2 linked regions of the Caenorhabditis elegans genome follow. The protein of the gene in region 2 interacts with the protein of the main gene of each other region in a biochemical or structural test. Each region holds a gene or a part of one and is shown on either strand. Other genes may lie near its edges. The genes, in order: mihp-1 and sprr-2.

Region 1 (4,028 bases), on a different chromosome or scaffold from region 2:
AAATTATGACTCTAACCATTCACCTAAAAGTATGACTCTAACCATTCACCTAAAATTATGACTCTAACCATTCACCTAAAAATATGACTCTAACCATTCACCTAAAATTATGACTCTAACCATTCACCTAAAATTATGACTCTAACCATTCACCTAAAATTATGACTCTAACCATTCACCTAAAAATATGACTCTAACCATTCACCTAAAAATATGACTCTAACCATTCACCTAAAAATATGACTTTAACCATTCACCTAAAATTATGACTCTAACCATTCACCTAAAATTATGACTCTAACCATTCACCTAAAATTATGACTCTAACCATTCACCTAAAATTATTATATTTCGTATGCCAATCTATTTTTTGGTATGTTAATCTATTCTTCGTAAAAAATAGATTGGCATAGGAAAAAATAGATTAGTCCCCCACAATTCCGAATCCGATATCTCTTCGAAGGGCAAAAACTCAATTTTTCTAAGTTACAGTAACCCTACATAAATCCTACAGTACTACTACAGAACCCGATTTTGGTGCAAATTATTTTTTTTGTTGGTTTAAAAACACGAAAAACATATTCATTTTTTGTTGGAAAAGTGAAATATTTAAATCCGGCGAACAAATAATGTTGATTTTGAAAAAGAAGAAAAGAAATACAAGCAGGGTGTAGACACAAAATGTTTTTTTAATAAACAAAAATTTTCAACTGAAGAGTGACGATCTCAAAAAATTTCAAAAAACCTCAATAATTTAGGACAAAAAGCACAAAAATAGGGAAAATGTAGGAAAAAGGAGATGAAAAATAAATTTTAACTTCGAAGTATCGTGATGGCGGTGGAATTTGGCATGGAAGTGTTGGCGGGCTGGCGGGAAATTCAACTTTTTTAAAGTTATCTTCCCCAAAGACCATTGGCACGTTGCCATTGAGCTGGTGATCTGGAACAAAATATCAATAATTTCGAGAACAAATCAATGGCTAATGGAGCAAAAGTTTAAACTGAAAGAAGCGTGGCAAATTTTAAAGTTTTCGAAAAATAAAATCAGTAATTAATACATTTTTGGAATTCTCGCAAACGTCATCCTGCCCAGAAATCGAGGGCTCAAATTGCTCCTGTAATGGTTATTGAAATTCACAGAGTAAAAAAAAAAAAGATCTGTGTACATTTTTTAACAATAAATTTGAATTCCCGCTCACCTTTTGTACAACATCGTCACGTCATCATCTCCGTTTTCAGTTGTGTAATCGTCATCGAACGAAGAAGCAGACCGTTTTCCCCATAAACTGTTCAGTTTGTTCCAATTTTGAGGGGTTCTCTTGTCTTGCTGCAAGAAAATATGTTGTGTGTTGCCAAGATGTTACCGAGAACTAACCGACGCTTCTTGAACAGACCGTTTACCCCACAATCCGTGTGCCTTATTCCATCCCAACACACGATCGTCTGAAGCCGCCAAACTCAATGAGATGAGCATTGCCAAACCTGCAAATTCTGGGGTTGCAGTAACAGATTTGAAATGTTCAATAAACTCAAACGATTGAAAATGGAAATTTAAGCATTTCGTTGGTTGGTAGTTTTTTGATAACTCTATTGTCTAATATAACTAGTTGTCTGCATCTCCTCCTCGCACCACACTAAACGCTCATATCTCTGCTGTGGAAAGAGTTACATAAAAACTTCCAACTGACAAAATTATCAGCTTAAAATGTACAGTATTTTGTCAGTTTAAACCGTTTTGTTAGCTCTAGCGGTTACAGAGATACAATCGATTAAAAAAGACAGTGTGAGAACAGAGAGGCAAGAGGACGCAGGTTGTCTCGTTGTCTGCGTCTCTGACAAACTTCTGACAATTGTATTTTAACAGCGGATTAAACTTCTTAAAATAGTTGTATACTGGCAAAATAATCAGATTTTTATCTGGGAATATTTTTTAAACTTTTTCTTTAATTTTTATTTGAACGTAAATTTCCAAAATTCATCCAACAAAAAACAATTTATCAAAAACAAGAAAAAGTCTAAATATAGTTTTCACAAGAAAAAATTATTTCTGGTTCCCCTGGCCAGTTGGTAACAAAAGTTTCCACCCACATTTCATTTTTCATGTGGCCGACAATGTGTCAAAAAGGGGAACAAAGGTCCCAATGGAGCACATTCACTTACCAACAATAAAGTGTATCAGCTGCATATTTCTTTTCTTTTTGCGCCTTCTTTTGTTTTGTAGACCCTGGAAAAAAATGGAATTTGGTGTGAGAACTGATGTCAAAAGAGAAATGTTAAGTACATGGGAAGTAATTAGAAAAAGAGAGAGAGAGAGAGAGAGAGAGAGAGAGAGAGACCATGTGGCCTGCTGCGAAACGCAGAAAAGTAGTGTGGCTCACAGCGAGGCGCAGATGCGCAGAGTGTCTGGCTGAGAGATGCAGACAAATAGTTGGTTTTGTTATCTGCGTCTCCACCTATTTCTTTCAATTTTAACTCCGTGTATCTCTACAGTTACTTGTCTCAGAAAAAATTTGCCAACTACAAAAAATGGAAAAATGTACAACATCAAATTTTACAGGTTCGTTCCAGTTTTCATGTTTTCCCCAATCGCCAACACGTCATGAGTCCTTGTAGAGCTCAAACTCCACAACAACACCGGAAGTGTCTTAGAACTCTGAAATTAACAACAACGGGCGGTCCGTAATCTCCGCTAAACCCCCGCGCTGCAACCTCAGACAACGATCGGTACGAATGTGGGAAGTAATACGAATTATTTAGATTCGATGGGATTTTGAGAGTATTTTTACATCAGGGATGTGCGGCAAATCTTAAAATTTGCCGAGCACAGCAAATTCGGCAAATTCGACAAATCCACTTTATTGAATATTGCCGAACTCGGCAAACGGCAAATTCGGCAAATTTGCCGCACACCCCTGTTTTAGATGTGTGAGTATAGGTCTGAAAATTTGCAGAGTGAGTAACATTTTTTTTTTGAAAAATCGTCTGCATCAGTAACTTTTTACGTTTAAAAATCTTTTAAAAAAATGAAAAAATCTAAACTAGACGCATAAATTGTATTTCGATAGTTTTGGTGCAAGTGTTAAACAAAGAAATTGAGAAAAAACTGAGGTTATGTTTAAAAGACTCCAACTTGCCAAGAATTCACATAATCAAAAAAATTTACTGACAAAATGTTAACCATAAGTTTTTACATATTTTGTTAGTTGAGACAATTTTGGTAGCTTTTCTAGTTATAGAATTACACCATCTCGAAATCATGCAGTTTCTGGCCTAATTTGAACATTTCTCGTTATAGGGGATTCTAGAAAGCTCGAAAATCTCACAGAACATTTTTTTTTAATAAGAACCATTTTAAATGATTTTGGAACTTTCGACTAGGTAGGTACACTGGTCTAGGTTATTTTAAACATTGTAAAAAAAGCTATATAAATTTCTGGACCAAAATGAGAAAAGCGGACAAGATAGTTTTTTTAGGAAAAAGTTCCAAAAATTTCCAGCTGGCTTCAGCAGTCACCAAAAAAAGTAAAAATAGTAGAAAAATAAGCACCAAAACTCAAGAAGTTCAAAAGTAAAAACACTTTCTTTCCTGAAACCAATAACTTTTTTCTCCAGTTTTTTTCAAAAACTTGTTCAAAATGAGCTAATGAGCCAAGAGCCACCCGGCTCCAAACTCCGCCTACTTTTTTTGTATACGTCAGCAGAAATAGCAGAAGCAAGAAGGAAGACAATGTTCTCATGGGAATTTCAGATGGAATATAGTGATATGGAAAATCGGCAGGGGCAAGGGAGCAAATTTGTATATCTATGAGAAGCTGGATTTTTGGAATGAAAATTTATTGCAATTTTTATCTTGATTTTTTCGATTTTTTTTCGCATTTTTTCCAAAGGTCGAAAATTGAAATTTATTGTCTTTGGCTAGAGAAAATAAAATTACTTCAAAAGCATTTTTATAAGAGTATGTTTTGTGAACTTTTTTGTGAAAATAATTTTTTTTCGCAATTTTTTTCTATTTTCAGAAACTTCAGATT
Region 2 (6,932 bases):
AAATTATTCAAGACGGAGACTGAGAGCAGGAGCTACGGGAGGGGGGGGGGGGGGGGGGAAGAAAGTTCATTTCTTCCTTGAGATGCCCAAACCAAGTGAAGGGGAGGTGGATATTAATATTTTTCAATGCGTTTTTCGAATTTTTGAATCAATTTTTTTCAATAAGTTTCGAGTGTTTTGAGGAGAGTTGTTTGAGTTTGCCAAAAGTCTTATGTTTTGCGAGATTATGTTTTCGAGCTCATACCTTATTTTTAAATGATTTTTTGAATTTCCTCAAAGTACACTTCTCGTTATTCCCATCCCCACTATTTGCTCATCAATTGAAACGAAAAGCCTGGATCAAAGTGAAGCCTTAATTGAATCCAGGGCTTTTATCAAATTATCAGATGACACACAGCCATCATCACACTTTCATTAAAAACCTATTCACAAAATAATATCCGGGTTAGAATTGAAAACTTCTTTTTTCATTTTCACTTGCCTACACGAACATCCGGTTTTTGATCCATAGTGCCACCACAAAAGCTCACAAACTTATGTTGCATGTGGGTTTGCTAGCTCCAGGGAGCTATCAAAAGAGCTATAGACAGTCTGGACAATAGCAAACCCTATTGCAATTGTTGGTTTTATATATGTTAACAACAAAATCCCATTTGTTTCTGTTGCAACTTTCTAGAAGATAATTTTAAAATCTCGAAAATGCCTGCATCCTGGATGTTTCGAAGAAAGCCATTTCTAACACGCAGGTCTACTCAACAATTCTTCACAAAAGTAGAAGCAGCTAGAACTTTTGAGAATACTTTTGAAATATATTGACCTGACGCACCTGACGCGAAACGTAGTGAAATTCATATTTTTGAGTGTTTGATCTATTTTAGTGGCTCTAAACTTTTATTGGCGTTTGATATTTTCTAAGTCTTTGTTTTATTTTATAGGTTCTTCAGTCTTGGTAAAAGCTAGTTTAAAAACTAATTTTCAAAAAGAAATTAGCAGACATTTCATTTGTTTTAAAGTAATTTGATCAAAAAATTAAAAAAAAATGACACGCCTTTGTTCCTTGTATGAAATAAAATGTAAGGCTTCTATGAGCACATTACGAGAGTTTAATATCAAGGTCAGAAACATTTTTCCGTCACAAAAAAAATTGAAATTGATGGATTTTGTACTTATTTGAACTTTTATTTTTATTCTGCTCAAATATAAGGATGAAAGTGCATGAAACCTGGGGGGCACTTTTCATAGTAGCATTATTTTTTTGCCATTATGCTATTTTTTGACCATTCTGAGTTTGTGTCTAATATATAAACCAACTACAATTATTTATTGTCATTTTTATGCTAAACTACTTACGAATTACATATTCTGACATGTTTTACAATTATCAGCATTTGAACATTTTACGGGACCGAACTTATCTAGGAACGTTGGTTGTGTTCTATTTTGCATGTCTATTTTTTTTTGGAATATTTTTAATGTACATATTTAGACAAAATCCCTACTGGCGCAACACCATTTTGGAGTATTTAAGCAGTTCTCAAAAAGTTAGCAATTTTTTTTGTTCATTCCTCAATTCCTTCAAGGAATAAGAGATTCTTAAAAAGTGCACCGGTTTTTGGAATCTCATGCCCATCCTTACTTTCTATTTAATCGCAGTGTAGTCACGCGAAAAATCAATTGGCTCTATTTCTTTTTTTTTCTGGATGAATGACAAGAAAGCGAATAAGAAAAAGAAGCGGGATGAAAAGGAGACAAAGCTTGATGTTTCTGTGCCCATCTCATGAAATTACGTGTTTCAATTTTGCGGACCAAGGTTTCTTCTCCTTGACCAACTTTTTGCGGTTAACGCTTTTGTTTGCCTTTGTGCCTAGGACCCTTCTCAGAGACTAAATTCACCCGTCGCTTCCTTCATTTAAATTTTAGATCCCCCCTTAACCCTATCCTATTTATTTCAAGCTTATCGAACTTTGTGACTTTGATCCCAACTTTCAGGAAAACACTATATTCAAATCGTCATGAGGTGGTGAAATTGTGGAGGGCATGAACTACGAAGTTTATTGCGGCAATGCGCATGCAGAGCCAAATAGCTCAGCAGTTCAACAACTTGCAGAAGCATGTGTTGAACAAGGTGAGTATAAAGGAAATTTTTACAAAGTCTAAAATTAAAACCGTACAAGTAAACCTAAAAAAAGGTTCAGCCCAATATTAGATTGGTCAGCGCCCATTTACAGTTGCATTTAAATATGTATAAAAGAAATGTGCAACAATGAGCGCTAAAAATTAAAAAAAAATTTGAAGACTTTAGCTAATTTCATTTTCTATAATACTTCCAAAATGTTTTCCAATACAAAATAAAATGAGCATATTGAATAAAACCGTTAAGAACTTTTTAAACAAAATTTTTGATATTTGGTTATTGTCCCAGTTGCTGGAAATTAAAGGTGGAGTAGCGCCAGTAGGAAAATTGTTAAAAACCACTCCGTTGGTCCCGAAATGACCAAATATCATGATAAAATTTTTTATTTACTGTCAAAAAGTGGCAATTACTCAGTTTTTGCCACTCATAATTTTGGAAGTCGGCCAAAAATTTTTTTTTTCGACATGGTTTATGTTTTAATTTTGTTTGAATTAATTGTAATAAAACATTGTAAGAGTCGAAATATGCGTCATCTCTTTAAATTTCCTCAAAAGCTCGTATTTTTCAAAATTTTGGCACTTTGCCAAATCTTTGAGCGGAAATTATGAAAAATCTAAAAATTTTTGGAGTGTTTTATTTTGATATTCGGTTGTTTTGGATCATTATAAGTGCATTTAGACAAAATCCCCACTGGCGCTACTCAACCTTTAACTTTGATTAAATTAATACTTTGAATTTTTTCTTCTTATTTACAGACATATTCAAGTAGACACATTATTAAATTCAACATTTTTGAAATATTTTTTGGAATATTTAAAACAGTACAAATATTTAGTTACTTTGTTAATTACTCCACCTATAAAAACTCGATTTTTTCGAAATTAAAATTTTCAGACGCGTCTTATTTTGATGGTTGCTCGAGAACGTGTGTGAAAGACAAGTATCTACTGCCTCTGACACAATTCGACAATTTAGAGATTGTAGTTTATGGGCAGGTTTGTGATATTCTTTTCAACTTTGCCACACTGAAATGATTCAGATTTTCCCAATTTTGGTGCTTTTCGCAGTTTTTGCGAATGCGGCTGTTGCGCTAGTTCTATCGAAGAAGCACATGATCACTCCAACTAACGTCGTTTTGAAGTACATGGCTATTGCGGAACTTTTAGTGGGACTCGTCCCACTGCCCTGGACTCTTTTCTTTTTTTCAATGGGGTGAGAGCACTTGTCGAAATGTCATAAAATGCAAATATGATTCAGGAATATCAAAGAAACACATCGGTTAGAGTTATGGTGGTGCTATCTACAAAAGTACAGTATGGATGCGTTTCCTCCAGTTTTCCATATGATTGCCATGTGGTTGACGGTACTTCTGGCGGCACAAAGGTGAGTTTCTTTTTTAATATTTCATTTTTAATGAGCATTGTGATCTCAATATACGGAATATAACTGTAAAATAGTAATAGGATCGTTCGAAATTTTTCAAATTTCTTTCAATTATGCAACAAAAAATCCAAAAGTTCATATTAAGTTTGTATTCCCGCACAAATAAATTACTTGGTTTCAAAATTGCTGCATTCTAGGTCTGGACGTATAATTTTTTATATCGAACGTTTTTTAGTTGCAAAATTGAAAGAAAATTAATTAGAAATTTCTCAGAAATTTCTAACAGTTTCACAGTTTCTTACAGTGATTTGGTTGGCACATTACGTTTAAATTTTGAGCATTGTATAGAAAATGTTTCGAATGTTTGAAAGAGAGTTTAAACAAGTTCAAACTCCAGGTAAATAGTGTAGGTTCAGCCAATTAGACAAATTACAGATACGTCTCCATAAGTCATCCATTGCATTCTCGATCCGCGTGTAATGTAAAAAATGTTCGATTAGCAACAATGATCATAACTGTAAGAAATTTTTTATTGATTATATAAAATTCACTTTTTGGGTTTTCAGGTCACATCTTTCCTTTGTGGACTTCCAAAGTCGTTTGATTATGAGTATGAAACAGTTCACGGATGGATTTATTCGCATGGTAACTGGACGTATGCAAGGTAAAATATTCGAATTTGAGTATTAAGGAATTAGGACTGGGAGATCAAGTAATGTTAGAACGTAAAGAACTTTTCTTACAGTAAGTTTTAACTTTTTCTTACAGTAAGTTTTTTAGTTTCATGTTGGCTTGAAATTGGGCTTTGAAATTTTCTTAATCGCAGACAAAAGTGAAATTACCAAGACCTATCAATTTTGGAAGTCGAAAAAATTACGTATTTCTATTATTATATGTATACAAATTCTAGGGGTTCAAACCTTCAAAAGTGCTTGAAACCTCTTGAAAAGCGGCAGTCAACTGAATTTTTTGAAAAATCTAAGGAATTTCACGTTGGACCTCTCAAAGATAATTAATTCAAGTTTACCCAGGACGGTGCTCCACTTTTGAAATTTTGTAATTTCCAAAAGTTCAAACTTATTTTCCTAGTATAATATTTCAAATAACACGCGGTTTTCTAATATTATGAAGTTGATTGAAATTCGGCATTTTGTGAATCACTCAAATTTTTTTTGTTGATATTTCATTGGTGTGTCTCAAAAAAATCCCACCAACTCCCCACTTATTTTCTCAAATTTCAGCAGTTGCGTCATGATGCCTACAGCGATATTAACCAATATGGGGCAAACTGTGTACTTTAATATTTACTTCTGGACACGTGCGCTCGGCTTCATTATTTTGCCAAGTTTCCTACTTGTCCTGCTCAATGGCCTTCTCATTAAGGGTATTAGAAGAGCGCAGCGGCGGAAGCTGCGATTGTTGAGGTTTGGTTTCAAATTGTGGCTACCTTGGGAAAAATTTTGGCACTTTGCCAAAACTTTGACCGGAAATTATGAAAAATCTAAAATTAACAGAACATGTTAAAAAAAAGCTTATTTTCAGAGAAAAACGTTCCGAAGAAGCTGCTCGGCAACGAGATAGCAATTCGACAAGCCTTATGCTAGTTGCTATTGTTTCAATTTTTTTGGTAAGTATTTCAAAACCCGCTTCAACCGAAATGCATCACTTTTCAGATTGTAAATTTGCCGCAGGCTATATTTATGGGCCTGCTTTGTGTCTGTGAGACGTTTACAATTAAGATTCCAATATTAGAAGGAACTTTCCCTGCCGTGTTTCTTATCGCTAGTAATATGATCGTTATTGTAAGTTTGGAATTTGCGTTCTGATTTTTGAAGAACTATTTAAAGGCTACTTATCCCATCAATTTTGGAATCTACTGTTTTATGTCAAGCAGTTTTCGACAAACTTTCAAATTGTTGTTTTGTCCGTAAGTTTTTTTTAGTATTAAAAACTCAATTTTATTAAAACTTTATTAAAATGGTTCAAGTAATTTGATTTCTGATCAGTGCGCAGCTTTGTCGATTTATTGAAAATTGAAAGTCGTATCTATAGCTCAGTCGGTAGTGGTGGCCGCTAGCAAACTGGAGGTCACGAGTTTAAGTCCAGCCTCACCCCTAGGTTCACCCAGCCTTTATTGGGAAGTAGAGCAATCCACAACTGGACTATCGGCTACATATATCGGCCAGACTTAAGTTACAGCCCAGTCTGAGCACCACCAGGCAGTGTACCTGAATCCCCAATCCGCAATGAATAGTTTTCTTTGAACATATATCTATGTATATCTTTAAAATTTATTGCTTTGACTTATAATTAATGAATTCAACGTTGAAAAAAATGGTATCAAAATTTATTCAAGATGAACTGTTCCACTTTTCAGTGGCGCTAGTCAACTCCAATGCGAACGGCGAATCGAAGCTGCAAGTGCCGTACATTCCAGTCGTCGACGTTCCGACATTTGCTCGCATTTGGTGAATGTTTGCACAAACTCTGAGGGATTCATGCAAGTATCCCATCATTGTCTGCACGTCGATTATCTTGTATCGGATAGGCAGTCGACTCAGTTTACAACGATGGATAGGAGTGATTAACTTGTTTTCTTTTTTTTTCTGCAAATTAAGATGTTTGAACATTGTGAATAACTTCGCCTAAATGTGAATTTTCTTTTTAATTTTCTTTTTTTTTACTTCGAAATAAATGCATTTAAAATTTGTATTCATAGTTCAGAAATAGCAAACGTATTTTAGTTTTTTCAAACCAAAAAAAAACATAAAGAATCAAAGCGACAATAATTTTTATTCTACAATTTTGGTATGGTACATGGAAAATACGCTCTACCGCAGTACTATTTAAAATGAGTCTATGGGACGAATTTGATATTACTCAATTGGTCTTTTGTATTTCTACATATGTATAGATTTATTCTGATTGTATTTTCTCTGTTTCCAGCGCGACGAACTCTATTTTATTAAATAGATAAATAAAAAAAACAAAATATTTTGCTAGTTTTACATTTTTCAATAAAATTTTTAGTTTGAGTTAATTCAACCCATTTTCAGAAAATTTTGAAAAATGAAATGAATGCATACAATTTTGGAAAATTTAAAGGTTTTTTTTTGCGTACAAAATAGGAATAATCGACCCGGTGTGAAATATGTTTGCAATGTGGCCGACCACCCCTACCACACACACGACAAACATGTTTCCGTAGCCTGTTCTTGTTCTACCGCACGGGGGTATAGCTCAGTGGCAGAGCATTCGACTGCAGATCGAGAGGTCCCTGGTTCAACTCCGGGTGCCCCCTAAATACTTTTTGGGACATTTTATCGTGTGTAAAAGTTTTGAGTGATCTTGCAAATATTAAACATGTCAGTATCGTTCAGAACATTATGGAATTGTTTTATTATTATTACAGTGG

The links.
Region 1: of the proteins of sprr-2 (region 2) and mihp-1, one has a biochemical effect on the other in vitro, tested with the Caenorhabditis elegans proteins (2 studies listed by BioGRID, with this or other methods).

What each region holds. Positions count from the first base shown.
Region 1 is NC_003279.8:13,400,645-13,404,672, reverse strand, and holds mihp-1 (MIP-1-5), read right to left. Parts: upstream 2,226-4,028; 5' UTR 2,186-2,225; coding exon 2,161-2,185; intron 1,483-2,160; coding exon 1,376-1,482; intron 1,328-1,375; coding exon 1,200-1,327; intron 1,116-1,199; coding exon 1,059-1,115; intron 941-1,058; coding exon 895-940; 3' UTR 569-894; downstream 1-568.
Region 2 is NC_003284.9:14,798,131-14,805,062, forward strand, and holds sprr-2 (Sex peptide receptor-related protein 2), read left to right. Parts: upstream 1-1,989; 5' UTR 1,990-2,037; coding exon 2,038-2,125; intron 2,126-3,028; coding exon 3,029-3,129; intron 3,130-3,173; coding exon 3,174-3,346; intron 3,347-3,391; coding exon 3,392-3,517; intron 3,518-3,952; coding exon 3,953-4,034; intron 4,035-4,083; coding exon 4,084-4,181; intron 4,182-4,758; coding exon 4,759-4,941; intron 4,942-5,059; coding exon 5,060-5,144; intron 5,145-5,190; coding exon 5,191-5,319; intron 5,320-5,364; coding exon 5,365-5,444; intron 5,445-5,894; coding exon 5,895-6,105; 3' UTR 6,106-6,227; downstream 6,228-6,932. UniProt on the Caenorhabditis elegans protein: G-protein coupled receptor for the neuropeptide like protein nlp-38. Plays a role in several types of aversive gustatory associative learning including gustatory plasticity and salt avoidance learning.